Linked DNA regions of Lepisosteus oculatus. The protein of the gene in region 1 interacts with the protein of each later gene in a biochemical or structural test. Links are inferred from orthologs where the notes say so. Each region holds a gene or a part of one and is shown on either strand. Other genes may lie near its edges. The genes, in order: dcn and tgfb1b.

The links.
Region 2: the proteins of dcn (region 1) and tgfb1b form a complex in vitro, tested with the Homo sapiens proteins (3 studies listed by BioGRID). The link is inferred for Lepisosteus oculatus from reciprocal best matches to the Homo sapiens genes DCN and TGFB1.

The regions. Positions count from the first base shown.
Region 1 is NC_090702.1:16,388,417-16,404,621, forward strand, and holds the start of dcn (decorin), read left to right. Parts: upstream 1-8,473; 5' UTR 8,474-8,726; intron 8,727-8,765; exon of another isoform or gene 8,766-8,870; intron 8,871-16,205. UniProt on the Homo sapiens protein: May affect the rate of fibrils formation.
Region 2 is NC_090698.1:6,672,730-6,689,171, reverse strand, and holds the start of tgfb1b (transforming growth factor beta-1 proprotein), read right to left. Parts: upstream 9,175-16,442; 5' UTR 6,279-9,174; coding exon 5,939-6,278; intron 1-5,938. Other genes in the region: b9d2 (B9 domain-containing protein 2), read right to left, coding at 9,757-10,070, 10,877-11,002, 11,124-11,211; cyclin-dependent kinase-like 1, read left to right, coding at 16,183-16,350. UniProt on the Homo sapiens protein: Transforming growth factor beta-1 proprotein: Precursor of the Latency-associated peptide (LAP) and Transforming growth factor beta-1 (TGF-beta-1) chains, which constitute the regulatory and active subunit of TGF-beta-1, respectively.

The DNA.
Region 1 (16,205 bases):
CAGCACTCTGTTACCATGGGAATCACCACTCTACACTGACCTCATAGTTTTGGATTTTGCAATAGTGAAGTTAGTATCAAATGTTAATACAACATGTACTCCCACTCACATTGCACAAGAATCTTCCTATTTATTGCACACATTGTGCGATGTGAGATTTCAAGTCGTCACACCAACTTAATTTCATACAAAAAAGTACAAATAAACCTTTTTAATTGACCTTTTTTCTACTTTTTCTTCCAGAATGCTTTGTTTGTTGAATGCTGAAAAGCAGAAATGTAAAAAAATATGACTGTTTTGTACTTCAATGTATTGTTTTCTAGAACCTTCAACAATTATTTGATTAACTCAACTAATGTCAACAACCCTCAAAACAATATATAGTAGGGGAAAAGAGAAGGGGGATGTTTGCTCAGAAATGGGGTTTCCCCTGAAATGTACACTTGGAAAATCAAATAACCATTTTATACCATTAATAAATGGTGTAATAAACCCAATAAATCCTTTCAAGTGAGTTCTTTGATTGGATAAACTGACCTTTCATTTTTTAGTTTCATACTCAATGCTGCAAAGTCACAGGCAGTTCCAAGGGTTACTGTTATGCAACAAGTTGATATCTTAATGAACTTGAACCCACCAAAATATTAACAACCTTGAACTTATTGGCCACACACCCTTGGAGACCTAAACTGACTTTTGCATAATGATGCAAAAGTAATAATAATAATAATTGCTTACACTTATATAGCGCTTTTCTGGACACTCCACTCAAAGCGCTTTACAGGTAATGGGAACTCCCCTCCACCACCAATGTGCAGCATCCACCTGGATGATGCAACAGCAGCCATAGTGCGCCAGAACGCTCACCACACATCAGCCGAGTAATATAGCCAATTCATAGAGGGGGATTATAAGGAGGCCATGATTGGTAAGGGGAAATTACACCCCTACTCTTTTCAAGAAACGCCCTGGGATTTTTAATGACCACAGAGAGACAGGACTTCAGTTTTACATCTCATCCAAAAGAGAGCGCCTGTTTACAGTATCCTACATCACTATACTGGGGTATTAGGACCCACATGGACCACAGGGTGAGCACCTCCTGCTGGCCCCACTAACACTCTTCCAGCAGCAACCTTAGTTTTCCCAGGAGGTCTCCCATCCAGGTACTGACCAGGCTCACACCTGCTTAACTTCACTGGGTTGCCAGTTGTGAGTTGCAGGGTGATATGGCATCCTATCATCAACCCACTATCAACCCAGACTCAACTCATACAGTAGATAACTGGAAAGCTGGGGTCAACTCAGTTTGTTTCAAATAAAATCTTTCATTGGTTGATGCACTTGAGACTGCATTTATGCAATGAATCAGAAACAGAATTACCTTTATTTGCCAAATATATTTCATGTACAAGGAATTTAATCTGGTGTACTTGGGTGCTGCAAAAACATTCTACATATACTGTACCATACTCACATAAGATAATAGAAATCATTGAGACAGTGTACATACTGTATACTGTAACTAGAAAGAAATCCCTAGGAAAAACGGAGTTCAAATACTGGGGAGTTCTGATTTTAATAGACCAGTAGCATCTTCCTGAGGGAAGTTAAGGAAATAGGTGGTAACCTGGGTGGGAGATTTCATCAGCAATCTTTCCTACCCACTTCTTTGCTCTGGAAGTGTACAGTGGAGGTCAGATGACAGCCAATGATTTTTTCTGCAGAGTGACCTACCTGATGATTCTAGAAGTTATGAAATATAGTGAAGGCCCATGTTAAGAGCAGCACCCACTGACCTGTTAACATGTGAAGTAAATCAATGTATTTGCAATGATGAATGGAATATAAAAGTAAATATTTTCCTTATTTTTAGGGAACACAGCTGGCTATGTAGAGTGGTTTTAAGCATTCCAATACACCTCTTTCACAATACCACAAATTACATATTTGGTACTTTTGAATGTAGTCATTATGGTACTCTGTATCACACAGTGATTTGTGTGGCTTGTGTTTAGTAAGGATGGCAATTTGACACAATACAGCCAATCTAGACACTGCATGTTTATTTTTTTCCATATAACAGCTGAGTATGTGAGACTTCCAACCATGAAACCAAATAAAGAGGAATTGCTTAAAGCATATAAAAGTTTTGACTATCATGTGAATATACCCTAAAGAATGTAAGAATTGGTAAAACTGATACTATTTCCACAGTTATTTGGGTTTTACTAAATTGATGTCTTTCATCTAAATTCAGCATGGAATCTCTTCACTTAATGCTCAGGGAACTTTTTTTCCAATAAGCTCTGAAAAATCTGTTTCCTGAATATACAACACTTAATGTATACAAATAAAATTTTCCATAACATAAGTTAAAAATCTTAAAAATCATAAGGATGGCTTTAAAAAGCTATTGTTGCATTTCTCTGGACATTTATTTGAACAACAAAAGTTGAAAATAATATCACCACTTAGCAAAACAAAATAAAAGAACTCTTAAACTGGTACATACTTAAGCTATGTTTCTGAAAAAAAGACATTTTGAATAGTCCTTAAATATCTGAAATACTAAACCAATATCTGTGTTATTGACAGGGCCCTGTCAATAACACAATAACACAGCTCCCTTGACTGCCCTCAGCAACCATCCACACCAGGTACTTTCCCTTGCATCACACTCATTCAAGGCCTCTCAGGACAGTTCCGGATCACCCAGATGGCATCTTGTACCTCCAGCAACCTTATTTACTGTATATCTTGCAGTAAATGCCCAGTTTCTCTCTACATTGGAAAAACAGGAAGGAGACTTGGAGACCGCTTCAGAGAACACGTCAGGGCTGTTAAGATTAAAGATCTCTCCAAGCCCACTGTTTCTCATTTTACCTCTGACGGCCACGACCACTCTAATCTCTCCGTCTGTTTTCTCAAAGATGGTTTTCCGAACTCATACATCAGAAAGACTACCGAAACCAAACTTATCCTGCAGCTAGGATCACACCTTCCCCCTTCTCTTAACGACAGACTACTATTCTACTAAATTTTCTCCATTCACTGGAAGTTTCATTTCACACCTCTCGACACCTATTCTGACTTCACACATCTTGATTGGCCTCTCTTTCTGTCCCCTGCTCCCGTCTCTAACCCCTCCTCCCTCCTAGCCTTTGTTCTCCCACTACATTACCTTTGCCTACTGCCTTGTCTCTCTCACACCTGAAGAAGGCTCCACGGCCGAAACGTTGTGTTTTCTCTCTTCTTTTTTTCAGCATGGAATAAATTTATTACTTGTTCCTTTGCAGCCTACGCATGCTGACGCAGCTACCCACCTGAACTACTAAACCAATATCTACTGAAGATATGAAATGGATATTGACTTCTAAAGTTTTATCATCTTCATCTGTAAATGTTGTGTTTGTAGTGGCATAACATGAACAATAGGATAAGAAAAAATCCTGTTGTGGATTAGCGTCATAGCATTTACTGTACTGGGATTTATTTTATTAATAATACTAAGAATAGATTGGTATAATGTGTAATGTGTAACTGTAAGAGTAACGCTAATAGACCCCCCTGCCCTCATTTTCGTGAGGAATGAGCTAGGAGGGTGCAGCAACTGTGAAGATGGGTTTCCATGAGGGGTACAGAAGAGACAAAGGAAAGTATATACTGTACTGTATATGAGTACAGAAGTATCTGACCTTTTCCCAAATTTCTGTAAAGAACTTAATTTCTACAAAATGTAAAACAAAATCAATATATATGTAATATGGATATTTCATTTGCCTACAAAATAATAGGAAGCATGTATTTGTTATGGTTAATTGATTTTTCTGTTTTATTTCCAATTTGTTTCTTTTCATATTTGTGTAGCACCTTTGATACCACAGGTTTACACATAGGAGAGGAGCAACTGCTTCTACCACTGAAACACAGCACCCATCTGGATGACACTCCACAGTTATTATGGGTCAAACAACACATCATGCAGAGAAATAAGAAATTAACTAAGAATTAATTAAGAACTTCAGGAAGGCTAGATTGTACAAGATCAGAGTAAAATGTAACCAGGACAATTGTGTTAAAACCCCTCTCATATCATCTGCAGGAAAATGTTTACCACCTCCAGTTACAGTACTAATATGTTCCAAGTATTATAAGTATTAGTTATGCAAGACTATAACCTGTAATATAAGGAAAATATGGACTGTAGTCTATGAGATGTCTGGTTCTTAGACTCAAAGATATTTACCATCGTTGCTGACGTGACATTGTAAATGTGAATTCAGACCCAACTGGTGTTACTCACAATCTGTGACATTCAACTTTAACTGGAAAAAGAATAAGTCAGAACTGAAAGGAAATCCAAGTTGGTTTACTGTAATCTAGATATTTGTACACAAATGAAACATACATACTATACCACTGAAATCCCCATGTCTAAACTCTAAATTTAAGTCATTATTACTCTTTCAGGACTCTCACAGCATTTAGTAAAAAAGCCACTCGCAGTTCTCAATTCTAAATGTTCTAACTTATATCTTCCACTTGTGTCCTCTTATTGCTCTGGTGGTTCATTGTTCAAGAATGCACCACATGGTTGTCAATGTCAAAACACTTTACTTTTATTACACTAATTAAAATTCTGTAGTTTCAAAACTCAAATCCAAATCAGCAACAATGTGGGTCTTCCTTTAGACAAAATACGAGTTCTATAAGCATTATAAAGATTTCATGACTTTAAGTAATTTACTATTAAACATTACAACTGTTTGGTTTTGAAGAATGTTGGACTTTCATGTGAAGATACAATATGGGTCACTGTTGAATGTGGATGTGCTGTTAATCAGCACTTTACAGATTCTTCATACAAATACTTTAAATGCTAGTCCTTCTTGTTGACATAGCTCACAAATAAGATTATCCAATGCCTTCTATTGCTGTGTTCATTTTCTTCAAAGATTTATTGTGAAATGGTTTTTAATTTTTGTAGGAAAGACTTACAAAAGTATTGGGGAGCATGGATTTCAACATTGACTGCTGTTTAACATCTTAAACATTGACTGTGATGTGTTGGGATGGTGTTTAGTGAAAGAATGAGTATAGGTTTCTCTAATGTAGCTCATGGCTCTTTTCCAATTTTCTTCAGAAGTTGTGTATTTTGGAAAGCTTTTTATAGATTTTTTTGTTTAAATCCAGTAACGTCAGATGTCTTAACAGAGACATGTCTCTACTAGCCTCGAAAAAATTCATTTTAGTTATTCTTTCTTTGCCTACAAGGCAACTCAGATTTACAATACTAAATTTTATATAATAGAAGGAGACATATCATTTTAATAATAAAGCAGACTGAGGTAAAAGATGCATTTATTTTTACAACATTCTAGGATGGTTTTATAAACTGTCAAAATATTTTTTTTCTAATAAATGAAGCAGATTAAAAATGAGATTGATAATAAGAATTGTCTTTCTTGCAAAATGGGCAAAGCACAAACAGACAAAATTGTATTATTTAAAAGATTCATTTTCAAATTATTTTCAATGGGAGAAAATACTAAGTGCTCTGCTATAACAAGTCTGCTCTTGTAATGAATTTCCTAATTAAAGACAACATTGTTTATATATTTAGCTATCCTTTAGGGGGGTCTACCAAGAATTGTATTTAACCAATGGAAAAAACTCATATTCTTCCAAACTTCCTCTTAATTTCTTTCCCGTGCCTTTTTTATTATGGTGACCACCAGCATTGTAACCCTCAGAGGTAAAATGTCTTGTTCAAATCAATGCAGTTTAATCCATCCAGATTCCTTTCAGAGTAACAATATGGAAAAATAAACATAATGCACTGTATAATGTCATCAAGTCCATAACTTCTACAATGTACAGTGACATAAACACAGAAGTTGACACAGCTTTTGTGGGCCTTAAGAAAACAGGACTCAATGCATGTTAAACTTGTTTATAGTTGCTTTTGGAAGAACATAGCACTCTGTACACATTTAAAACAGATGTGAGCAAACTACAGAATTGATAATAATACATAATGTATATCAGGTTCGATTTATGTTCTTTGAGGCTTTTTTTCATAAATTGCATTATCATCAACAAAGTTAATTTTTACTATGTAATACTATGTCAATTAAATATCTTTTAAAAATGATCTTCTGTTTTGTCAGGGACTTGACGAAATTAGTAAGACCCATATACTGTGTGTGTGGGCATGCACTGAAATGTGTTCTTATGCATAGTAGTACTGAAGAGGATTTGAAAAGTCACCTCCACTCTGTGAGGTTCTAGATAAAGTCCTTGGTGTCAGAAGTCAACAAGATTATAGAAGCTCCAGCATTCAACAACACAGGTAATCATATTACCACTTTAATGACAAGGGTGGACACTCAATAACTTAAGTATTTATGCTTTCAATTCCTTACATTCACCCGTTGCACACCCAATTCATCCCAGCAGAGGCCACTTTAACAACACTCTCCTGTCTGTCCTCTTAGGACCCTCACTCAGTACAGCTGTGTGTGCCTGTATGCATATCTTTTAACAATATGAAGACAGAAAGACATGCTGGCAACAATAATAATTTAAACTGGTACATGATGTTACATAAAGAGAGAAACCCTTGTTCTAGAAATATAAACCTAAGAGGTATCCTCCTCAGGGGAAGCACAAAAATCCTGCACAAGAAACCCTCACCCCCTACAAGAAAATGGAAGACCTGCCAATGCTCATTAACCGAACCACAGTGCATATACAAGTACAATTCATTCCTCCATACAAAATAACTCCTTTCCTAACTGAATCTTCCAATTCAGTGTTGCAGGGGAGCTGGAACCTATCCCAGCAAGCAGCAGGCACAAGGCAGGGTACACCCTGGACTGGCCAGTTCACTGGAGGGCACACTCACACCAATTTTCCCAGAAGCCTCTTAACCTACCCATATGTCTTAGGATGGTGGGCGGAAACCCACATGAACATGGGGAGAACATACATATCCTGCACAGATAGCACCACAGGAATTAAACCCAGGGCCCCAGTGCTGTGAAGCAGCAACACGAGTCACTGCACCACCAAGCCACCCAAAATAAAGCATTGATAATGAGAAATACACTTGCTGTGGATTTTGAATAAAGTAAATCCAAAATATCTGAAGATTTTTGAACAAGGGTTTTTAACATTCTACATGTAATTGGCACATTCACAATCAGGAAGATGAGGTATAAACATTAATATTTTTTTTATGTGGATCAGTATTAAAAAAATATTTGAAACATTAAAAATTAAAAATGTATTTGAAACAACAAAATTGTTCAACTGAAACTTAGACCTTTCCTTTGTATATAGATTAGGTTTTAGGATTTAGGTCCAGAATGTGGATATGCTGCTAAAATCTAGACTTTTTTATTCCAACAATTTGAGAGCCTGAAGCTAGAAGTACCTACAGTACATGTAATTATTTCATGCTTCTGATATGTAATAAGGCTATTAGACAACAACAGTACTTTAGAGTACTCACTTATATTCTCAGTTAACCTACTTTTCCTTGTTTTGTAAGATTATTTTAAGTGCATTTAAGAAGCAAAGTTCTAGTTAGTCCTGTTCCAATTTTTCCATTCTGTAAGTCCCACAGATGCAATTACCATTACTGGATTTTATTATAGATTGCCTTTGATAGTTTTTGGTGCCTGATATTATATTATATTTTATGTTTTCTAGAAATTAAAAAAAATTGAAAGGCTGATATATTTTTAAGTTCAGATAATGAAGTGACATTTGGGAATGTGCTGTGATGTTTCAGTCGCAAGTAACGCAAATCACAAATGGGTATAATAGAATTACTGTATTATTATAATTAAAGTAATTTCTTTTCCATTATCTGAATTAGTTTATTATCAACTTCTTATATGAAGTATAAGAACTAGATTGAATCTATAAATTAAGTAGAACTTGTAAAAATGTTTTAGTCCTGTTGAAATAGTAAGACTTTTAAATGAAATCTGGATCCTTTTACTATATTAATGTTAATTGCTCCTCTTAATCTAAACTTTATAGAATAAAAAAAAAACAATTATTGTAGGAAGTTAGCCAGGAGAAGACATTCAAATGAAATGCATCAGTATCTAAGGTTATATAATTACAATCTGTGAAAAGCTTTCCATACCAAAACCTGTCTTCTCTACTGAAGAAAGATGTAGCTGCTCTTATTCAATAGTTTAAACCAAAATAAACACAAAATAAAGTTAAGGGGGGAGCAGTCTTTTGTAAATGCTCACTGGGAGAAAAAAAAATGCTTATGGAGTCTGTTCTGAAGCACAGCAGCCTGGGATCTGCACAAGAATTAATTCCCCCAGCAAGGAGGGAAAGAAAACGTTGATAAAGTGTTCTTGGCTTTAACGTAGAAGACGTATCATTACCATATGATGTAGTGTGGGTGTCAGCCTGTGTTGTGTTCATTGACTGAGACTGGCCTCTTTTTTTCTTGTGGTTCCAATTGCTTTGGAAAAGAAGCACAGAGGGAGTTATCTACCAATTGTCATCCATTGAAAAAGGACTAACGGGACCCTCCCTTTCTCTGCCCCCACCTCCTCTTCCAGCTCCACACACCTGCATTGCTTTGGCTGAACACTTTTTTAGTGCAATTACGCCTCGGCCTTGAGAGCTGCACTTCAAAAACCCCCACTGGATTTGGGAAAAAAACACCCCCAAAAAACAAAAGAATACAGGTATGGTTTCTTGCAGTCAAAAAACATGTTAGGAAGGAGCAGGACTCACCATGCATAGGGTTTTTGGAATGCTGGTAAAACTGTAACTTCTTGCACAGAAAGAGAAGGAGAGCTTGCTCTGTTCCTTGTACAGGGAAAAAAGAGGTAGGATGAGATTTAAATAATGGAGCTGCTGCTTTGTTCTAATGTTCTGTGTTAGATTTGTGAAATGTTAATTGTGTGCAGATTTTAAAAACATTTTATTCAAGCACAACCACAGCATTGCAACAAAAGTAAATTATAAAGTAAGAAAATGGTTTATAGGTTTTTGAAAAGAGTGTTATAGATTTTTTTGTGCTTTTTTGTGAAAGGTTGTAGTTAAAGAAAGGAGAATACTTGGCTGTTTCGTGTTCCGAAGTTTGTTACAAATGCTAATCATAATCTCATGAGCTAGTATCATATTCCAGTGATCACCTGGTATGTAGAACCCAAGAGGTGGGGTGTTTCCCCTGGAACTGCTTAGGTTGTCAAAAGTTCAGCAAAATGAATTATCTCACTTCAGAGTTATCTGTAATATGTTTTTCTAGACGTGCTTTACTTGTGTTAACAAATGTGAGGCTTGAATATGCTGTTTTTATTATTTATTTCTGGCTTACAGTTATGTGAATAGACAAAAGGAAGCCAAATAGATATAGATATTGTATAAATCAATATTTGAATAAGTGGATGGTTTGTATTTTTTTATATAAAAGTTATTTTCTTAGTATTGGCTACTAGTATTGTATTGATGGAAAGCCTTTTACAGTTTTAATTGTTGTTTTTTTTCATGTATGCTTTTGGGATCTTTAAACTTGCTTTTTTAAATAATCCTTTTTTTGTCATTGTTAGAAATGCTGAATTAGGTGTGTCTCATTCATCCAATTATGCATCCTTTTTCTTGTCTCAATGTGAATAGTTTCCTTTCCCTTTTTTTACAGCTTCACTCCCCTAAATTGTTATGCCCCCAAGCAACCAAAAATAAAAGGAGCAGCTGCTTTGAAGTAAATGAAAAATACCTGGCACTGGTGCCACATTTAATCCTTTAATAAGACAGCTTCCTTTTATTAAAGTGTGCCAGGAAGATAATTTCCTTTTTGAACACAATAATAGTTTTCTCCAATAAGAGATGCATGCAGCACAACATTGGAATTAAGCAAAGCTCCCTCCATATGTGATCTGGCAGCACATGAGTTACATCTGGAAGGTGACTGTTTTGTGGAAACAAACTGCATAGCTCTGACCATTAATTAATCTGTACTTTAGCCAGAAAAAACAGCAGAAAAATGTAAGATGTCTTGCTGAAATAACAACAATTGATCAAACTGAGTGCATTGTCATAAGGGCTTATTTTATAATAAGGTCAATGAGCACAGAAAACAAAATAACTTGAGTTTTGTCTGCATCTACGTATTATTGACTCCAACAGCCTTAGCTTAAGAGTCAAGTACAAGTCTATTTAATTCACCTTTGTAAAATCATAGCCCTGTAGTTTTTAATGTTCAATTTAATACAGAGTTGGCTACTACATACTGTTTTTCATAATGCAATGAAAAGCCTTAATATCAATGTAGAACTCTTAATAGACCTTAAATAAGCTTAAATTCAAACATCTGTTAGTCATTGCTGTTCAGTCTTCACTCATTCTTAACACAAAAAGGTTATTTTAAAACTAATAGTAATATACAGTACATTTTATGTTTTGTGATATGCTGATCAGTTGTACTGAGGCAATGCCCCTGTTCCAACAACTGACCACCCCATCTGAAATCTTATTTCCAATGTCCATTTAACAGCCTTTCTCGCTGACTGACTGGGGGAATATCACATTGCACATTCATAGAAACCATAGCTCCACCATGAATTATAAGCCAAGGGCTATGTGTTAAAAAGATTACAGAGATACTATATCATGAAAACAGTTACTTTTTTTGTTTAAATGTTTTATTTCACTCTGTATTACACTTCAGATATTGTTAGAAATATGTTCATACCAAACACAGCAGTTTTAATTCCAACAGATGTTTATTTTCTCTACAGAATGTTTTCCCAGTGGGTGCTGTTGCAACACTCCAACATTCCAATACATTTACATTTGTCATTAAATTATGCTTACTGCATTTCCTGAGTGCTGAGAGTGTGGCTGTGTGATCTGTTTTCATTTTAACTCTTAAGCATACCTTTGGCTTGTTGCCATTTCTTTTCCATGGGGATTTTACTTGGCAGAATGCAGAAAATGTACGCAACATATGGATACACCCAAGCTGACGTACGTGTAGTATGGATACAGAGTGTGGAGCTCAATTACACTGCACAAGTAGTGAATGAACAAGTAGAGGTTATTGTCAGGCTGTGGGAACAAAATGTTGTGCGTATATATCACCTTTTTCAGCTGCCTTGCACTTTTGCTTTTTTTTTTTCATTTTCAGCAAGGGATTACTGCCATATGGAGACTGCCATATCATAAATTACAGCATATCTCCAATACTGGTTGGATGTTTCTCCAGTGAGAAATACAGGAGAAATATATAATGCCATTGATTTTGCTAGATGTCCATGTGGATGTCTGTGGAGATATAGCATCACACATCCAGCAGCAGTATACCTCTATACAGATAAAGAGTTACAAGTAGCAATGAACTGCTTACATGTATGCTAAATGGAGCTGAGATCCAGGGATCATGGTGGTAAACAGTTGGAAGGGTCCTTCTCATGTTCCAAGAACCACTTTGCAATCCCAACTCTGATGTTGAGGTTGAACAACTAGAATAGGCCATCACACACCATGTGGTGTTTCTTATGCAGCTGAAGTACACCACAACATTTACAAATCAATAGAGGAGCAGTTCCATAAACAGCACAACATACCTCAGACCAAGACATTTACACCAGCAGCCTGAAGGGGAAATAAAATGTAAATGTCTCCTCCCCACCTTGCTTTTTTCGTTAGTACTGAGCTTTTTGTGGGCTTTGTATGTTATCAAAGAGAAGGAGTTTTTGGATTGCCACAGCACTTTGAACATCCCATGATGTAAGATCCTAGAATATAGTTGTTATTGACTCTGGCATCTTTTGGATACAAGTGCCTATTTCTTCTTGCAGGGTTTGAAATCAGACATCTCTCCCTTGCAGACTGAATTATAACACAAGAAGAGTTCCATAGCAAAACATTCTGCCCTGATGTGTTTAGTTGAGGTCCAAGGAACTCACCCAGCTATTCCTTGCAAGACGTTCTGATAGCACTATTAAATAGGGTAAGAAAACTAGATTCCCACAATCTTCTAATGAAAAGAAGCATGTACTGCTTTGAACAGATTCAGGGGCAACTATGATCTTCTTCAAATTTGGCAACCAAAACTGGACGTAGTGTTCTAAAAAAAGTTCCTGTATAATTTTAAAATAACTAATATTATGTTGAATTCTGCACTTTTTACATGTGTTTTGTCATTTTGGTGGCCTTGTATATTAAATTATAGAAAGTACATTGTCTGTATGAAGACAGCATGGGTGCACAAAACACCTAATCCTTTTTTAAAAGCAGCTCACTCAATCTGACTAAAACCCATATATACTGTATATTATGTAATACATATTTCTATAACTTGTAAGTCATGATCTCCACTTGCTAAAATAAACACTACTTGCTAGATGTCTGTCCTGTCATGGATTATATGGAAATCTATTTTAAAAATTCTGCTACTAAAGTTTTTTTCAACTTTTTTATGTGCTGTTCTGTCCACTTTGTTTGCAAATTTGTCAGCTGGATAAACCCTGGATGTTACACCAGTCTGGAACAAGACACACACAGAAATGGATATACTTACAGTACAACACATAGTTTGAGTAGGTAGCTGTGTCAGTATTCGTAGGCTGCTGCAAAGGAACAAGTTAAGGTTTATTCTATGCTGAAAAGTGAAGAAAAGAAACACAATGTTTCGTCTGTGGAGCCTTCTTCAGGTGTCACACTTGTTCCTACTCACAATAGGGCCAATTAACCTACCAGTATGGCTGTGGACTTTGAGAGAAAGCCAGAGCACCCAGAGGAAATCCAAGCAAACACAGCAAGAACATAAAAACATCACATAGATAGCACCTCAGGTGCTTAATTGAGCCCAGGGCCCCAGTGTTGTGAGACAACAATGCTAACCAATGTTCCATCATCCCACCCTGTTAGAATCTACATAATGTATGTAAATCAGAAAATGCAGTGGCTTAAAAATAGATCTCCATGTTACTCTACTAATTACCTCATTTCAGTTAGATTTATTTCACTATATTTTAAATCTTAAATATCTATTGTATTAATTTTCCAATTGCTAATTACAATTACAGTGTTTTGATTCAAATGGGAGTCCCTACCTGTATATGTGTTTCATTGATGAAAATAGGACAAACCTAGAAGCCATACCAGAGCTAACATTACAGTTCCTGGAATTATGTGCATTGCCCCCATTAATTATGGATCTAAAAGTTTAATGTGGGTGTTACCTCCCCATTCTAGGGCATGGGAATTAAAATGCATTTTAGACATGGGCTAGATATGTGCAATGTCCTACCAAATGGTCCCAGGATCCAGCTAATAACAATCTCATAAAGCTCACACACAACTTGCTCTTGTCTAAAGTGTTGCTGAAGGTTCGTTGGAAGGTTCAACTGTGGTTCAATGTCATGCCGAGAGATTCTGTGGCAGCTTTGTGCTCAACATGCTCAGTGCAGAATGTCACATTAAACTTATAATTGTCAACCTTATTGTCCAAATGGAAGAACCACTGTTCTTATGGGATCTGAACTGAGGTTCCACCTTTGAAAGCACTCATTATTAAGCCATTATTGAGATGTATTTGATTAGAATATGATTGATACAGTGGTGGTTTATGTATTGTATTGAATATATATATACTGTATATATTTAGATATACAGTATACATTTTCTAGATATTGAGTGTGGCATGGCTTGTTCAGAAGTTAAATAATGCAGAGCCAAAATTGAGCCTTATGGAAAACCAGAACTGAAAGTTCTTTGCATAGTGACTTGAACTTAAAAACAGTGATTATGAATCATAGCCAGCTGCTATATCACCCTGCAACTCACAACTGGCAACCCACTGAAGCTAAGCAGCTGTGAGCCTGGCTAGTAACTGGATGGGAGACCTCATGGAAAAGCTAAGATTGCTGCTGGAAGAAGTGTTAGTTGGAGTAGGAAGCACTCATTCTGCAGTCAGTTTGGGTACTGTAAAAATACTGAAAGGGTATTTTTTCTGAAATACTGGAAAAACACCATCCTTCCCAGATGAGACGTAAAACTGAAGTCCTGACTCTCCATGGTCATTAAAAATCCCAGGGCGTTTCTCAAAAAAGAACAGGAGTGTTAACCACGGTGTCCTGGCCAAATTTCCCCCTGGCCTATACCAATAATGGGCTCCTAATAATCCCCATCTATGAATTGGCTTCATCACTTCTCTTCCCCACTGGTAGCCAAGGCAAACAAATCCAAAGGGAGTCCGTAGGGAAGTCCAGGGTGAGCAAAAGTCCATAGCCAGGTAATCCTTCCATAACAGACGAGACAAAAGTTAAAAGTTAGAGCGGGATCTGGTGAAGGGTCGGGGAAATAAAAGGGTAACGGGGCCAGGCTCTCCAAACCCCGGACCAAGATGGTCAGGACGCCATTTTGAAGCCTATGCCATTAGCCACTCCTGGACTCGCTGGTAGGGAAGCTTCCGGGCGTCCATCTTCCAAAGCTAAGCCCAGATTGTTAGGAGCATCTGGCTTTTATAGGAAGGGGCTGGAACAGGAGGCAGGTGCAAAGAATGAACAGAAACAATAAAGAGCCGGAGAGCCCTTAAGAGGAGGGACTTACGATCGTGACATATATAAGTGTAAGGAATTATTATAGCCAGTATTGTCATGGGATAAATATTATAAATGGATTAAACTGCAAAGTTTCAAGGAGGCCCTTCCTCCCACCATATCATAGGCAGAACACAGTCGCTGTCTGGAAACCTGTTTCAGGTTGGGTACACAAGGCTTCTACTTGGTAACTGCAGCTCCTGTCTTGGCAAAATGTATCTTGCTGTTTAGGAAGGAGACTCTCAATAATGTTGCACTTTCTAAAGACGTGCATATTTCTATGACTTTAAACACTGTGTAAAGAAATGGGACGATAGTTAACAGGGACACCCACAGGTTTACTGATCTTAGGAATTGCTATGTCAAGGCTTTGTGTTATTCTTCAGACACTTTCCCAGTACTGTGCACTTCTGATATTAGCTTTGCAAGCCCTGCACTTTCTCATTATCCTGGTTCTTGAGAAACTTAGGAGGGACCTCAACACTTATTTTTCAATACATTTGCTATTCTTTCTTTATCACTTTCTATAAAGCCATTGCTCTCCTTTACATTATTTACTGATATAGCACTTACATGTCCTTTTAAATGATAATTTACATTGCACCGTATTCAGTTTGTCTGGGTCCGGTTCCCTTTTAAAGACATTTTAAAGTGATTAAATCCTAATGTTGTTCTTAATTGAGTCACTATATCAAGTAGATCACCACTTTCTTCTCACTTCAAGTTGTTAAAAATTGGTATCAGATAAATAGAGAATTTATCTTGCGCCTCTAGCATCATTCTTTCTGAAATATAAATATCAATTCTCTAGTGATTTCTTACATATCAGACCCCTTTGTACGATTGAAAAGAAGAAAGGTCTGTGTTGATGTTTTTGTATTTACAAAACACGCCTGTATATTTGCAGATATTTGAATAAGTGCATTGGCCATTAATCTGATATCCATTCAGTGAAACACCAAAGGCACATACTGTACAGCAACATCCACCCTTTTTTCTCACCTATACAAACTTTAAATAAAAATTACACTAGGGAGAATGTTTGGTTTGCAAATACTGGATTATCAAGTCCTTATTAGGCAAAATATATAGAAATAAATAAATAGAATAAAATCAAATAAAAATCATCAATAAAATCATTGGTGGTAATAGCAATTTGGAAAAAAAACAATAGTAATATTATGTAGAATTTTACTTAACTATAAATTCTAAAAATTCTAAACTTTATCTTACACTTTTACATAAAAAATAATTACTTATAGTATAATCAGCTTTATAGCCCAAATTATTTTAACTCATTGAAACCTTATATACAGTACACTTTAAAGTTTTTCTTTTACAGTATATTATATATAAACACAGATATGATGCATACTGTGGTATTTGAAATAATGCCAGACTACCTGAATAAGTAGTTTTGATCTAATATCTTAAGTATATGGTATTTGGATTTGTACAACAGTACATATTTTATTAATTATTTATTTTGATCTTTAAGATGAATAAGACAGGTCAGTGTCTTCCTCTTATTTGAAACCCTTTTAGGTTCAACTAGTATGTCTTGAAAACACAGAATTACATCCTGTCCATATGTTTCTATTGTTTCTATCACCCTTT
Region 2 (16,442 bases), on another chromosome or scaffold:
GGCTAGCTGTGCTAAAGCAGCCCTTATGATCTGCTAAGATGATCACACCTGTGATCTTGCAGTGTTGCCAGAGAGAGATGCTCTAATCCCTATAAGACCTTTGCAGCTCGCAATGTGTTGAATGCCAAACAGCTCAGACACACTGTTCTTTATTCCTCCCTGACAGCAGTACAAGGGCCAGAGAGGACTGAGCTCATCAGACCAGAATATAACTGGGGAGGACCCGGAGTGGAAACACTGAGAGTCAAGCTAGGTGCCTTAAGACAAGGGAAGGCTTCACAATTCGCTTGCAGGGCAATGCAACACAACAGCACATGTTCCCGGATGAAGCAGCAGCATAATGACTGACACACACTCTTCAAGAGTGTAGGAAACAAAAAACAAAGTAAATGGCTCAATTGTCAGATCAAAGCTCGTTAGATTAATTACTCTAACACACCTCGTGAAGGCTTTGTTGTAGTGCAGTTAAACCAATAATTACTGTTTCTACCTATTTAAGCATGTATTAACCACATGTATTTCCACAGAATGTGCACCACCCTTCACTTCAGTAAAGTCAAATTATTATAGGATTAATGAATCCATTTTAAGGGATGAAGAAACAGTGTGCTTATACTAAACAAACACAGACAGACGCAGGGAGATAAAACACTGACACATCACAGCCTTGCTCCCTGTTTGTCTCCCTCTTCGTTCTACTGTTACTCTAGCCTTCTCTGCTTCTCTGCAAGGTGTCTGATCTGCCGTGGACTGTGGTTAACTCCAACTTCAGTGTGTTTGACTGGTGCTGTCCTGCAGGTGCTCAGTTTTAGTGTGCAGTGAGCTTCAAGGCCAGGTGGCCAAGGGAACCTTTGGACTGCAAAAGTCTGGGGGAGTTTTTTTCAAATATACATCCAGACCTTTGAGACTCTTTTTCAATGAAGGTGATGAGCAGCCAAGAAGGGAATACAGGTCTAATTCAGTCTTGCATGTGGGGATTAGTGTTTTCCGTACCTGGGCGTTTATCCCACTGTGTACAGTTTTGCTGACTGAGAGAAACTGCACCTCACTTCCATATAACTCAAGGTGCTGGATAAGACAATCCACAATCTACAGGCCCTACAGGTTGTAACTCATGTGCTAAGACAGTGTTGCCAAGAGTGAAACAGACCCCACTTTCCTGAGTTCTGGGAAGTCGACCTGATTTTTGTTTTAAATTAACTGGCTGGGGTGACAGTTCTGCTCCAGCCTCTGCTCTGTCGGATGACACAGGTCATCTGTGCAGGATTTTAACTTAAAATGTTGTACAGACTGAGCCCTGGGGCAGTTGTCACTGCAATGACATACAGTACAGTAGACATTAGACAGCCATGGACTCTGACTACAGCCCAGACTCATGCCCCACCCACTTTTAAAGAACTTGCTCTTTCAACAGATCAACAACGCCATGTACGTTACTCCCTAAAACAGCTCTGGAGAATTTTGTAATATAAACATTTGTACATAACAGAATCAAATGCTTTATTTGAATTCAGCAAAGTACCTTGCCCTTATTTTTTTTAAAGATGTATTTATTAATTAGGGTGTGTAAGGGCTAAATGTGGCCAGTAATGTAGTGTTTTTGAAGGAAGTCAATCTGACTCCCAGTGTCTCAGGATCCTGTGCTCAGTACTGAAGGCCAGTCTTTTCGGTATTGATAATACTCGAAAACACCTTCACCACATTCCTCCGTTTCCACATGCCTTAGAAGTGAATGGGGATGGTTTTATCTCCTCTTTGTAAATTTGATAAAGAGATAAAAGGTCCCAGACGTCAGGGGCATAGCTGTGCACAGTGCCAAGCTCAACAGATGGGATTTTGGGGTTCGTAGGCCCTTGGCACTTTCACTCCGAAACGTGCAAAAAGAGGGGTGAACGTCCCCTCTGAATGACGTCGATTGACATGATGCACTTTCAACTATTCTCATGCTAAACTGTGTGATTGAGTCGAGCGACCATCCCTTCGATACTTCTAGTATCTAGAACAGCCGCTAGATACCGTAGGGTTATTGATTTGGAGCACCTAGAGTCGATCGCAAGCATGTAGTTTCAACCCGTTTTTCGTTAGTCACTAGTGTTTCTCTCCTTCGTAGGCCCTAGACATTTCGTAGGCCTAATAGGAAATTCGGCACTGAGGTTCAGTATCTTAAGCAGGGCCTCTTGCAGCTCAACCCTGCTGTGTTTGAGCTTCTCGGTTCTGATGCTATTGAGAGTGAAGGGTTTCTGGGTGTTTGGAGCTCTGTGAGCGCTTGCAAGGTGACTGCTCTGCAAAGTTTGGTTGTTTTTCATTCACGGCTGAAGCATTTTTAGTTTTTCCTGAATGACAATATGTCAAGATTGGAAACCTCTGTGTGGATTTTTTTTCATAAAGGTTTCCAAAGCAGTTTTTCCCAAATATTTCCATTCTGTATTTTGCCATGTTTCCTGAGGCTCTGTTGTGCTTAAACTATTCCACATTTCCCAGACCTGATTTTGATTTACTGAATCTCCAGAGTGAGGGTTATGTAGATGTGTTTTCATTTTGTGACTTTCAGAGTTTGTTTGTAATATTTAAAAACAGTACCAGAGGCATAAATCGGAGCTGTGTGAATGATGAGGTTTCTGATTTGATATTTTCCTTTTTATCATTGTCAAACAGGTTTTCTTTTAACTTTGGACTGAATTCTTAATGAGTGCCTTAATTGATGCTCTTTGGAATATTTCATTAATGTTAAACATTAATTCACCTATCATGTCGTGCAGGTGTTGTCTGTGGTAAATAGGATTTGCCATTCCTGTAGAACTGGTTGCTGTTTGCTGGTCTTCTGTGCCATCCAAAAAGTATGGTTTACAAGGTGTGTTTGTGTACTCCTAGGTTGTCTGGAGCTCTGTACCTGTGTTCCAGCCTGTAGTGTGTGATTGTATGTTCCTTGGTTCTGCTCAGGAAAACAGAGTTTCGACTGTAGCCCAAAAGGGATATTTTGGTCTGGCAGTGAATGCACTGATAAAAGAGGAGTCCATGTCGGTGATGGCACAAACAACTACACTTGGCCCAACAACTGAACAATAGGTGAACCAACCTGAAGAGACCCTTCTGATCTATGAATATTGTACAGATCCAAGACAGTTCTCATGCCCATTCAACACACAGTCATAGTTACTACTCTGCATTGTGGTGGATATGTGGTACCATCCACATACATGGCTGTTTCCCTATGTACTTACTCACACTCAGTACTTGTCCTACCATTTAGATCCCCAAAGAGAAGCACATGTCCCTGGGTTATAGGGTATGAAAGGGATATGCGCTACACACAGATATATATCATTATCACACAGGGTTGAGTCTTTTTCAGTTTTGAGCCATGAGTGCATTTGTCTTTGACTTTGACAATGTTGAATTGTAAAACCTGAAGACACAAACCCTGGACCATAGATCCCCTCATCTCTCTTTCCCCTGTAGGAAGCCTGGGAGGTTTGCACACAGAGATGTGTGAAGCTGTGATAGTGGACCTGACTTCCTCCAGAGCGCTATATATAACTATCTGGAGTCACTGAGCCCAGCTCCGCTCCAGAAATAGAAGTGCCTGCCTCACTGCCTTCTTCCTTCCCGATACACTGACTGATTGACACACTGGCTGACTGAGATACTGACCTCCACGCTGTCTGTCTGACACACTGGCTGACTGAGATACTGACCTCCACACTGTGTGACTGACACACTGGCTGACTGAGACACTGACCTCCACGATGTCTGACTGACACACTGGCTGACTGAGATACTGACCTCCACACTGTCTGTCTGACACACTGGCTGACTGAGATACTGACCTCCACACTGTCTGTCTGACACACTGGCTGACTGAGATACTGACCTCCACACTGTCTGTCTGACACACTGGCTGACTGAGATACTGACCTCCACGCTGTGTGACTGACACACTGGCTGACTGAGACACTGACCTCCACGCTGTCTATCTGACACACTGGCTGACTGACATCCTGCCTGTCTGACACACTGGCTGACTGACATGCTGCCTGTCTGACACACTGGCTGACTGAGATACTGACCTCCACGCTGTCTGTCTGACACACTGGCTTACTGACATGCTGCCTGTCTGACTGACACACTGACATGCAGGTAGAGGCGAGAGGGAGTGAGAGGGGCTGTGGCTGTTGCTCTGTGGTGAGTACAGAGATCCAGTTACAGGAAAACCCCCCGGCACTCTGGCCCTGAGAATGAGGGAAAGTGGGAGGAAGAGAGGGGGGCATCTCTCCCTCACACACACACATCTCTTTACATCTGACCCTCTTTTACTCCACTTTCAGTGTTTCTTTTTTCTTTTTTTGCTATTAAGTTTCAGTCCAGAGAGTTCCTCTCCTCTCTCTCCACAGTCTCTGAATACAGAAGGCTGTCTGAATGACACAAAGAACAGGATTCTGTTAGTGAAACGGGGGAAGGGAGAGAAGGACAGACAGACAGAGAGGTGGGGATGGGGGAGGGGAGGTGTAAGAGTGGGTGTGTGGAACAAGTCTACTGTTAATTTCCTCCCTGCTTTACAGCTGCTGTGTGTCAGTAAACCTAAATCACATGGGCCTAACGATGTACAAAACAGACACACACACTGATATCAATGGATGCCCACACACTGTCACATGCACAGATATACGCTGTGTTCCTGTCTTCGTGGGGACTTCCACTTGACTCTCCTTCTAGTCCTACTAAGAAATCGACACTCTATTCAAACGAAACTCCACACAGGGTGAAAGCAGACCTGAAACGAACATGTTTTGGTGCTTGTAGGTTTAGAAGAAGAAGCCACTTGGTTCGTAAAACGTAACCACTGACATTGGGGGGACATCGTCCCACCATGCTTGTCAGGAGGCTCTTGTGCGGACAAGTGTCACACACACACAGGAAGACACTCAAACAGGTAGACAGCCACAGAGAGACAGACGCTCACCTCACACCTGGAGACTCAACACTATAATGAGCCAACTCAAACATCCCAGCCATAAAAACGCCATGGATACTAGCGGAACAGTGCGGTACTGCTTGCCAACAAAGACCGTTGACATATTAGTGTCTGTTGCTGCCCAACAATTGTGTACAACAGCCTGGAGGCATGACTAGAGAAACGAGAGGGCCTTTCCCTTCACAAACCAGGACTGAGACAGCATGAGGTCTGTGCCCTACATCAGCACACACTAGCATGAACACCGCAGAAAAAGCTCAAGGAGGAACTCATCCAAATCGCAAAAAACGAAATAAACCACAAAACTAAAAATGATCCCTGCTCAGCGTTCCAGATATGGGCCGGGGCAAAAGTGTATGACAAATGGTGTCTTACAGACGGGGAGGAGAGAAGGTGGCACATGTCCTGCATCCCAGATACAGGCCAGGGAGAGGACGCAAGGTGCCCAGGGCCACAGTTACAGGCCAGAGTTAAGGCATGCATCTCCAATGACCTGAGGTTATGACTTCGAAACTCTGCTGTCTCACCTGAAACCAGCACTATTCCTCCTTCTAACAGACTCTCACCAGAGTACGGCTGCGCCTCAGAACCCAAAGACTTTATTCCAGTCAGCTGTTGTACCCAAAGAGAAGAATGGTTATCGATACTGGTGCCAGTTGACCAAGCTTTCATTCTCATTCCTGGAGGACTCGAGGTTAGGGACTGTCTGCCCGAGATACTCTTATAGTAAAGAGCCAATTTACAATTACCACTGGGATGTCATCTAAGCACAAGAGCACAGTGTCATGGTAGGGAGAAACCTGTCAGCTAATTAGTAGGTACCGATTTGAAAAGCAACACGACCACAAACCAAGACACCAAGAACAAGTGAGATATAAAGATTTAAAAGAGAAGGGAGTAAAGATGCGAGTGTCCCGGCGTCAGTGCGTGTGTGTGTCCCGAGGTGCTCGCTCGTGTGGTACTCACTGTTCTTCATGATGAACTTGTGCACCTCCTTGCCGAAATACTCCTCCTGCTCCCCGTGCTGGGCCGCCGGGCTGGTCTCAGCCTGGCGGGCCTGCTCCTCACTCAGCTCCTTGGTGCTGTTGTACACCGACAGCACCTCCGGCTCGGGCTCCAGGGGGGGCTCCTCCTCCTTGGGCTCGCGAGACATGCGCAGCTTGCTCAGGATCTGCCCCCGGATCGCCTCGATGCGCTTGCGCTTCGCCAGCTCTAGGTCCAGCGGCTTGCAGGTCGACAGGGCGAAGACCTGGCTCAGGCTGCCTAGCAACCACAGGCCCAGGAACAACAAGCGGTCCGATCTCATGGTGACCAGAACAAGCGCCCCAACGTACCGACAGTGTCCTCGCTGTCTTTTACTCAAGCACAACGCAGGTTTATGGAAATCCTGCTCTGGTATATGTAACCTGTGTATTAATTAAATGTTTGAGTGTCAGTCTAGCCGGCTACAAACTGCTTGATTGATGTCCTGTTGTGCTCTGGCGGTCCTGTTACACAGCCCTCGGTTGTCCAGCACGTTGAGATGGGGGAGGAATTAAACAGATGAAGTCTTGTTGAGTTATCTTCAGGCTCTGTGTAGTGGTTGGACTTCCCTCTAAAAGCGTCCAGTGCTACTGCCTCACATAAGAGAACTCCCGTGTCTCAAGGCAAGGGAGGAGACTACCCCTCTTTGACAAGCCTGACAGCACGTTGCCACAAGTCTCCCTGTCTCAGCACAGGTGACAATGCAGGATTTTAGGGCTACAGGTGTCCTCAGCATCAGCCTCTCTGCCTGTGACAACTGGAGACGGTCGTCTTACCTCTGTGGCCTCCTTTATGAAAAGCCGTCTCTCTCCACAGCTGGGCTGCAATGGAGAGGGGGCTCAGCTCTGGTCTCCCCGCCTGGAAACTAGGGGTCTCCCTTCTCTGCTTTCGTCTCTTCGTCCCCAATCTTTACTCTCTGTATTCTTGGCTTCAAGCTCTCTGTCCCTCACGCTTGTTGACTCTCTGTCCCTTCATCTTTTTCGTTTTTTACCCCGACCACTGCTAATTCTTTCTTCGTTCGTTTTAGAGTCTCTCTTTATCTACTTCCTTCCTTCTCGCTGTGACTCCCCTCCTCCTCTCCACGATCAAGTTGAAGCGGTAAAGAAGAAAACAGAAGTACTCTCAGATGACCCGGACTTCCTGAGACAGATCTGTTAGCTTGCCTTGCCGGTGACACTCCGGATCAGACCGCTTCAGACAGCAGTAGCAGATATTAAAGCTGACCAGCCTTCTCACCAAAAGGTACAAGGACAGAGCAAGAGAGCCAACACACGCAGCACACTATCACAGAAGAGCTGTTCTCTTCAAATAAACAAATAAATACAGAACACGTTCTGAGACAATAAATAATCCGCTACCAGCAACTGAATTAAAACAGTGGGGGGGGAATTGGGATTAATAAATTAAAAAAGACTATAAATACATTTATATATATATATAAAAGCTCAATAAGCTAAAAATTTGTAATGTATCTAAAGGAAACTGGTACTCCTCATTTCACCATCAGCAGTTTCAATTCTGCTTCAAAACAAAACACAGAGGCTTAAAAATAAAGTCTGTTTTTTTTTCCAAAATAACAGTTCTTCCCTGTAGTATGCGCAGAGAGAGTGTGAGAGGAGCCCAGAGGGGATGAGGTGTTACAGAGCGTAGGAGAAGGCAGCCCAGAGGAAGCCGAATAATGTGCCTGGAAAAAAGCAGCAGTAACAGCAAGGCACCCCTCTGACACAGCAGCCAGAGCCCAGAGCACCTCTCAATTACAACCCAACGTACCACCTCCCCCACCTTTCCTTGTCTGGACCCTATTAGAAATATTAAAGCAACTGGAAGAAGGCAAAAGAAACTACTCCCTTCCTTCCAACCAAGCCGAAGAGCCGTGCTCTTTCCAAAAATAAAACTCAACAAACAAACAGAGGAGCCGTTTCAAGGCAAAAAAGGTGAAACAAATATTTAAAGGGAATTTCTTGAAAATAAACCTTAAGACGCTAAAGCACAAACATTTGAAAAGAACAGAGTATGAAAATCAAGCAGCTCAAACCAGTCTGTGTGTCTCAGCAGGAGTTGTAGTGCTAGCTGTAGTAAGTGTTCATTCGGAGCTCCTCTATTAAAAGTTTTGATCCGAACGTAGTCTTTCTTTCTCACTCTGTGTCCCGATTTGTCTGTTTTTCGTCTCTTTAACTGATTTTCCCCCCCGTTTATCAGCTCTCTGGCTCTCTGTTAAGAGCTCGGAACCTTTCTCTTTCAGCCACTTTTCTTTTTCTGTTCACGCTCTCTCTCTCTCCTCAACTACTTCTGCTTGTCAGAGCTTGCTAGTGACAAAATGATTAGTGAGGGCTGTTCCATACCCTCCCTCCCTCTATTTAATTTTTTTCGTTCCTGTTGCAGCTCTAAAAGAGCCAGAAACTCTCCGCCCAGGAAATGAGGGTAAACGGATGCAACGCTAGAACATCTGTTTCTTCTCCGACTGTGAGAGTGTTGCTCTCTCTTCATACAGAAAGACTTGGAAGTCTGAGTAGCTACCAAGACAGCTGAATAACCCACTGACTCACTAACTGAGTGACACACTGACCGGCTGACTGACACACTGACAGACGGACAGGCAAAGTGAACTAACTAAAACAAAGTGATCAGATAACACATTTCTGCGCAGTAGCGATTGACCGTGACTTGAATAAGTCCAACAGCCAGGAAATACTATGGGGAAGTTTATTAGTGTGGTTCTTAGTCTACTGCACATAGATAATTCCTATTGCACTATCTTCCCCTGCACATGTCCTCTCAAAGACCTCAAACACATCTTTCCTTCCTTTTTCCACAGGGCTACCCCACACGGCACAGAACAACAGGAGACAAGATACACTGAAACAGGGGGATACAAGAACACAATGAGTTACAAACTCACACTGTGAAACACAAATCCACTCAGTCGCACATTATAGTACACACTCTCGCACTCAAACAAAAACACTGTCACTTGTGCACAAACAAGCCTCCCACACCGAGATACTGAAAGAGAACACATCTCTCTTGCCCTACGCAGAAGAACCATGCAGAAAGATTAAGACAATTATGAGGAATACAATCATTCAAAACAATAAAAACAGGTTAGTAAAGAGAAAAGATGACAATCATGATATATAGTAAGTGGAAAAAGATGAAAGGAAAGATGGCAAAGAAGAAGATAAAGGTAAGAAGCAGCAGCACAAGAGCCCTCAAACAAGAGGCACAAGACCTCATAGTTTCATTTACTGACCCACAATTAAACATCGGAGAAACTATGGAAAACCAAACTTTTAATATATGCGTTTTAAAAAAGTAAAATGGTTTCCAACTCTAAAACACAATACATATATAAAAATATACAAAAGTCACGCTGGGTTCAAATACAAAAATTCATTTTAACAAAGAATGGGATTAGTTTCATTGCGTGTGACTGTCAACGTGTTAATGGGAACTTGTATGAGAGATGCCATTCCAAGACTCAGCCTGCCCCCTTGTGGCAGAGCAGGGGTAGAGCCATACTTACAAAGAGCATGATACCTGTCCACACACAGCAACTGTTTCCCCTCTTTCCCTGCTGAGGTCCAGAACTGGACAGACCTGAGAGCCGTCCTGAGTTTTCCACTGCAGACAGCTCGCAGCCTGCTGGCCTCCTCAAGTCCTCACATCCCCTCCCATTCTCTCTCTCGTTCTCCCTCTCGCCCCACACACCAAACCCTCTCTCAAACCTTCCCCTGCGCTTCCCTTCTGCCTCTCCTCCTCTCTCAGCTCTCTACTCCGTAGCGGTCGAAGTGTCTCAAGACGATGCTCAGCTCCAGGTCCACGGTGCCCGAAGCCACCGTGTGCAGTCTGTAGCGGTCTGCCCCAGTGTAGATGAGGTCAGGGGAGCGCAGCTGTGGCCCCCCTCCCACGAAGGTCTGCACCAGCCTGTCCTGCCAGGGCCCCAGGGGCCGCCAGGTGCCGCAACGCAGTCGGTGGTGCCCAGGGCTGGAGGGCACGTGGCAGAACCCATAGCCAGCCATCTGGCAGCGGCCAAACGAGTCCTGGTCCCACACCTGCAGGTGCAGCTTGGGCCACCCTGGAGAGACAAAGCTCAAGTCAAACTGTTCTTTCCAGATGGAGTAAAAAAAAATAATCAAAAAGCAAACCCCAAAAAATCCAGGTCAGTGCAAGTCTTCCATTCACCCAGATGGATATTTCTTCCCCATAACTGAATTCTGCAAACCCCTCGTTTTTCATAGGAACTACAGTATAACCCTTGACAGTGGGAGTCAACGTTAGCTTGTCTTCATCCATCCAAGAAACAAAGAGCAAGGGTTAACTCTGCTGAAACTGCAGTTCAGAATGCTTGACGTCACTGCACAGCACATGTGAAAAGATGCGGTCCTCTTGCAGTAAAAGGGAGGCCCACAGCAAAGTGTGTGGACACACTGAAAACATCAGTACAGAAACATCAGCTCTGAGCTGGAGACAACATACTGTAAGGTGAAATTGATCTTAAAAAAAAGTGTGCTCAATACAAATGGCAATTTTATGCATTCATAAATCAAACTCTGGGCCATTTCAGTTCACTGTTAAATACAGCGCAGAAACCATTAACCAAAGGAAGAAGGTTTACATAGATGTGCATTAAAATGAGTTAACTCGACAGATGAACAGACAATGTGCTGTAAGGTATGATTACAGTTGTGGGGCAACATTTATGTTGTTTTTTTCCAAATCACAGAGACTGAGAGGACAGGAAGAAAGGGGAAACAGAGAGAGAAAGGAGAGGAACAGAATGAGAAACAGGAAGAAAAGGGGAAAGACAGGAGAGAGGACAGAAAGAGAAGAGAGGTAAGCAACTGAGACAGGGAAAAGGGAAAGAGAAGGAGGAGGAAGTACCTTGCAGTCCCTTGGTGGCAAAGTGTAGGTCTATGGGATGGCTCCAATAGGCCACTTCACCAATCTGGGGAGAGTCCACCTGTGTCTGCCCTTCCCTCAGCCCTGACAGCAGGCGCCATGCCCCTCCTGCAACACACACAACACTGTAACGCACGTGCACTGTGTCCTCACTGAGATAAGGGAGGACATCAAATCATTGAAGGTTTAGAACTGAGTGAAGGTAGGCCTGATCATGGCTGGTGAATACCTGTGTGGACACCCCACTTGCAGAAGAGGCTGTTCTGAGGGAAGCCACTGGCCCCCACAATCTGGCCTATAATGTGCAGCTCCGCCATCCTGCTGAGAGAGAAACACCCTTACACACTGGCAGACACAAGACACAACAGAACACCGTTACACACTGGCAGACAGAAGATACAACAGAACACCGTTACACACTGGCAGACACAAGACACAACAGGACACTATTTCACACTGACACTGGAAAGATAAATGAAATACAGGTACTGTCAAAACTTTAAGCCTGTATACAAGTAAAGCAAAAAAAGTGAATGATACTGTATACGAAATACACTTCACAGGTAAGGTAGATTGTTCTCATTATCAGCATCATCCTGTAGCAATAGCCATCTATTCTGCCATCTCGTCACAGGTTTACGGACACCCTCATCTTACAACAATGCTGGCTGGTCCCTGAACTGTTCCGGCACCGAGACCAGCTGTCAGTGCTAACGATCTGACCTGGGAAATCATACCTCACCTAAAGGCTGCTGCGCTGAGGAAGAAATCAGATCACAGAGGCAAAGAGCACCATACTGCAATGTGAGAGAGGACTACACTGCAGTGGGCACTGGCCAGGGTTATTTTAGAACAGGAGCACCCATAACCTTGTGAAACATTCCAATGGATTTCTATTACATGCATAGGGAACAATGGTGATAAATAAAGGTCATATAATTGTTAGGTGACAAACAAGATGAATGTGCTTCCCCTTCGTTTCCACTTGTTCGCTTGTTTTGCTCTGTTGATTCTGAAGACATCCAATGGGCTGATGTTCTCAATGGCCCGGAGGATTTTAAACACCCGAGTCAGTTCCTTCACCTTTGAAGAACGTTCATTGGATGATCAATTCACAGACTCACTTAATTAACTTGCTCTCATATTGAGCCCACTGAAGTGCTGGTCTGTATGTCTGGAAAAACATTACCATCACGCAGGGGGACCAGTGGATACCAGCAGATTAAACCATGGAACATGACCAAGGGGACACACACTGTACTGTATGTAAACTATGCTGAAACGCTTTAAGAGCATAGAACAAACGCTTCTTTAGCCAAAGAGTAGGGAACAAAACAAGCTACCCAGCCTTGTTGTTGAAACCATTTCACAGACGTCTTTACTAAAACGATTGGATAAGCTCCTTGGATCAATTAATAACCATCAAATGGGCTAGATGGCCTCCTCTTTTGTAATGTAATCTTTATAATATTATTGCTGATCTTCTTATGTCTAATCTGTCTTATGTTCTTATCACACTGCTCAGATTCAGTGCAGATGCATCCTCAAAGCTGCATTCTTCAATCTATTAATGATACAATTGCTTCTTTCAGGCTACTCTGTTGTTACAAACTGGAAAATAATGATTCAATTTAATTTTAATCACTCTGAAATTAAGTTGGGAGTGAAAAGGGGAAGGCACTTGTGGTAGGATGCTCTTAACTCACGTTTTAACGCATTTTATAGCATGCTGTTACGAACCCATTGTTAATAAATCACACACTATGCACTGTGATAGAAATACGAGCTGTTTCCTACTGGCAGGCGCGTCAAGTTACTTGCAGAAAAAAATCAGGTGTTTGATCCTTGTAAAATAATAACTCCAGAAACCTGGAAAAGGGTGTGAAATAACATTTTATTCTACTGTAACATCACACCGTTCCGTTATCTGGCACAACCTAGACCAGTCTGTCCAGTTACCAGATAGTAAACAATGCAGGTGCTGTTCCAAGCGGTAAAGACGCTCTCGAGATTGTATTTCATGTAATATAAAAAAACAGCTTTATAGAGTGGTGAGACACCTCACGACTTAATCCCGAAGACACCGAAATTTTACCTTCAATCCTCCCGGTGCTTTCCAGGTTTGTTTTACTTCATTAATCAAATTAACTTTCCTTGTTTACATTCAAGCGGCGGTCTCCAGGGCTAGAGAGGCGAGTCCCCGCCACTTCCTTAGCAACCCGACACCGGGCTCTGCCATTGGTCCTTGATGTCACGTGGTCCCGGGCTCGGGTTTTTTTTTAAGGTAGTCGGGACGCTGTCGAACCGCCGTCCGGGAAGTACTGTAATTACAGGTAAAATAAAGTGAGCTGATCTGACCAAACAATCGATCAATGAGAGCTGGCCCAAAACCAAATGGTACCACGAGGATCAAGTTCCCATCGATGAGTTACTGCAGGTAACACCCGTGGGCTCTTTATCGATTAATGACCCACCCCAGTGCGTGTTCTCCACGCAGGCGTGCGTGGAGACTGACGGACCTGCTCGAAATATCGCCCTGGACCTATGCCTTGGTTTCCCCTGAGTGTGTACGAAGTGTCATTGCTCCATTCATCTTATAACTAGCACACATAAAGAGTATTGCAGTGGAACAGTACAGTTCTGACACACTGCGCGGAACGGTACTGATGTGTACTACATTACAAGGATAAGGAAAACGAACAGTTGGTGCAGAACTGTGCAGTAACAAGTCGAAAGCCGTTAACTACAATCGGTACAATCAATCGTCTAACACTGCCGGCAGGCGGAGCCTTGGTGCCACTTTCCGAGCCCTGCGACGACTCCTTTCGCCGTATCCGAGTCGGTGATACAGGTTTATGATAATGTGGACTTGTAAAGGTTATGCAGAAGTAATATGAAAACTAAAAATACATGTGTAAAACCTGAAAATCTTAAGTTATTTCGGACAGAAGGCGCTTAATAAAGGTAGTGTACGTGTACACTCTTGCCAATTTGTTACTACAGCGACTATTGCTACAACCGCTCCTGCTGCGGCTACCGTGAGTACCACCGCTACAGGTGTTAAAACTATCGCTGCAGTTACTACGGTCACTAGTACTAACACTGTTGTGTATACTACTAATACTGCTGCTGGTCCTGGTGCTGTCGCTACAGCAACTAGTTGGCCTATCGGTACTGCTTACAACAACCCAAATTGCAGCTACATCTGTTGCTGACTTATTTTCCCGTAAGCTGCCCCTGAATTGACGGGGAGGGAGAGAGACGAGCAGACTGTTTTCACACGCTTCGCCGAGGGCCTGGGGTTTAAGAGTTAGGACAGAGAGAGAGGGGGGGTTGTGAAAAAACTTCGCGTGGAAATGCAGGGGTAGGCAGCCGCGGTTGAGAGCGCCCAGCCGAGAAATGAGCTCGGGCCGCCGCTGTCTTCAACAGGTGACGGCCGGCGGAGTGTGCGGACCAGGCGCCGCGATAAATAAATAAGCACTCGGGCGGAATGAGAGCGGCCCGTAACCAAGGCGCTGCGTGGTTCACAGGACAACCGCACACATACACACACACACAGCCGACACGAGAACACAAACACGGAACTCGCACTCGCGGAAGGGAAAATACATTCACGCACAAAACAAAAAAACAACCCCACGCAGGATCGGCGGCACGACCGCAAGACGACGCGGGCGCGCCACGGCCTCCCACGCCAAAGCTGAAGGACGGGCGTTCATAGAGCAGCCAGAGGGCTGAGGAGGTTCTTTCCTTTGAAAGCCGATATATGAGCATACTGCGACTGGCGAGATCACGGGTACACTCCCTGTACATTAAGGGGAAGATGGATACGCAGACAGACGAACAGAAACACACGGACGCGGAGCCGGCACACACCGTAAGAGGCGCGCACTGATCTGCACTGGGGAGCGAGGAGGACGAATGAAGAGTCGCCCAGACGCTTTCTAATCTCAAGACAACGTAGACGCAGAAAAAAATATATATAATCACCTTACAAGGTAAGGATATGTCCAGTGGCCACTGCAGTGTAGGTAAGGATATGTCATTTTAACCTTTTACAATGGGGGACTAAAGTAATATACAGTGGAACAGTCCTGTTACAGTAGGAGCTACAGTCCCAGTACAGTAGAACAGTCCTGTTACAGTAGGAGCTACAGTCCCAGTACAGTAGAACAATCCTGTTACAGTAGGGGCTACAGTCCCAGTACAGTAGAACAGTCCTGTTACAATAGGGGCTACAGTCCCAGTACAGTGGAACAGTCCTGTTACAATAGGAGCTACAGTCCCAGTACAGTGGAACAGTCCTGTTACAATAGGAGCTACAGTCCCAGTACAGTAGAACAGTCCTGTTACAATAGGGGCTACAGTCCCAGTACAGTGGAACAGTCCTGTTACAGTAGGGGCTACAGTCCCAGTACAGTGGAACAGTCCTGTTACAATAGGAGCTACAGCCCCAGCACAGTAGAACAGTCCTGTTACAATAGGAGTTACAGTCCCAGTACAGTAGAACAGTCCTGTTACAATAGGAGCTACAGTCCCAGTACAGTAGAACAGTCCTGTTACAGTAGGGGCTACAGTCCCAGTACAGTGGAACAGTCCTGTTACAATAGGAGCTACAGTCCCAGTACAGTGGAACAGTCCTGTTACAATAGGGGCTACAGTCCCAGTACAGTGGAACAGTCCTGTTACAGTAGGGGCTACAGTCCCAGTACAGTGGAACAGTCCTGTTACAATAGGAGCTACAGCCCCAGCACAGTAGAACAGTCCTGTTACAATAGGAGTTACAGTCCCAGTACAGTAGAACAGTCCTGTTACAGTAGGAGCTACAGTCCCAGTAGAGTAGAACAGTCCTGTTACAGTAGGAGCTACAGTCCCAGTACAGTAGAACAGTCCTGTTACAGTAGGGGCTACAGTCCCAGTACAGTGGAACAGTCCTGTTACAATAGGAGCTACAGTCCCAGTACAGTGGAACAGTCCTGTTACAGTAGGGGCTACAGTCCCAGTACAGTGGAACAGTCCTGTTACAATAGGGGCTACAGTCCCAGTACAGTGGAACAGTCCTGTTACAGTAGGGGCTACAGTCCCAGTACAGTGGAACAGTCCTGTTACAATAGGAGTTACAGTCCCAGTGCAGTCGAGCAGTCTGATGCAACTTGAAAGATTAGCAATATTTCAGGGTTCCAGTTCAGAAGCAGATGAGTGCAGATTAGAAACATGGTGGTCTTTTCATTCTGTGTTTGGCAGCTGCCTCCTTACCCACACCTGTCTCATACCTCCGTGCAGTTGCCATGGAGAAGTTTGAAAAGCTGGCGAAGATCGGCGAGGGCTCGTACGGCGTGGTGTTCAAGTGCCGGAACCGGGACACGGGCCAGATTGTGGCCGTGAAGCGGTTTGTGGAATCCGAGGATGACCCTGTTATCAGGAAAATTGCCCTGAGAGAAATCCGCATGTTAAAGGTACAGGGAGGGGGCGAGAAGGATGAGCCAGGCAGGGCAGAGTGACGGGAGAGGTGGAGAGGGGAGAGAGCCCTGCTGAGCTGGGTCCAGGC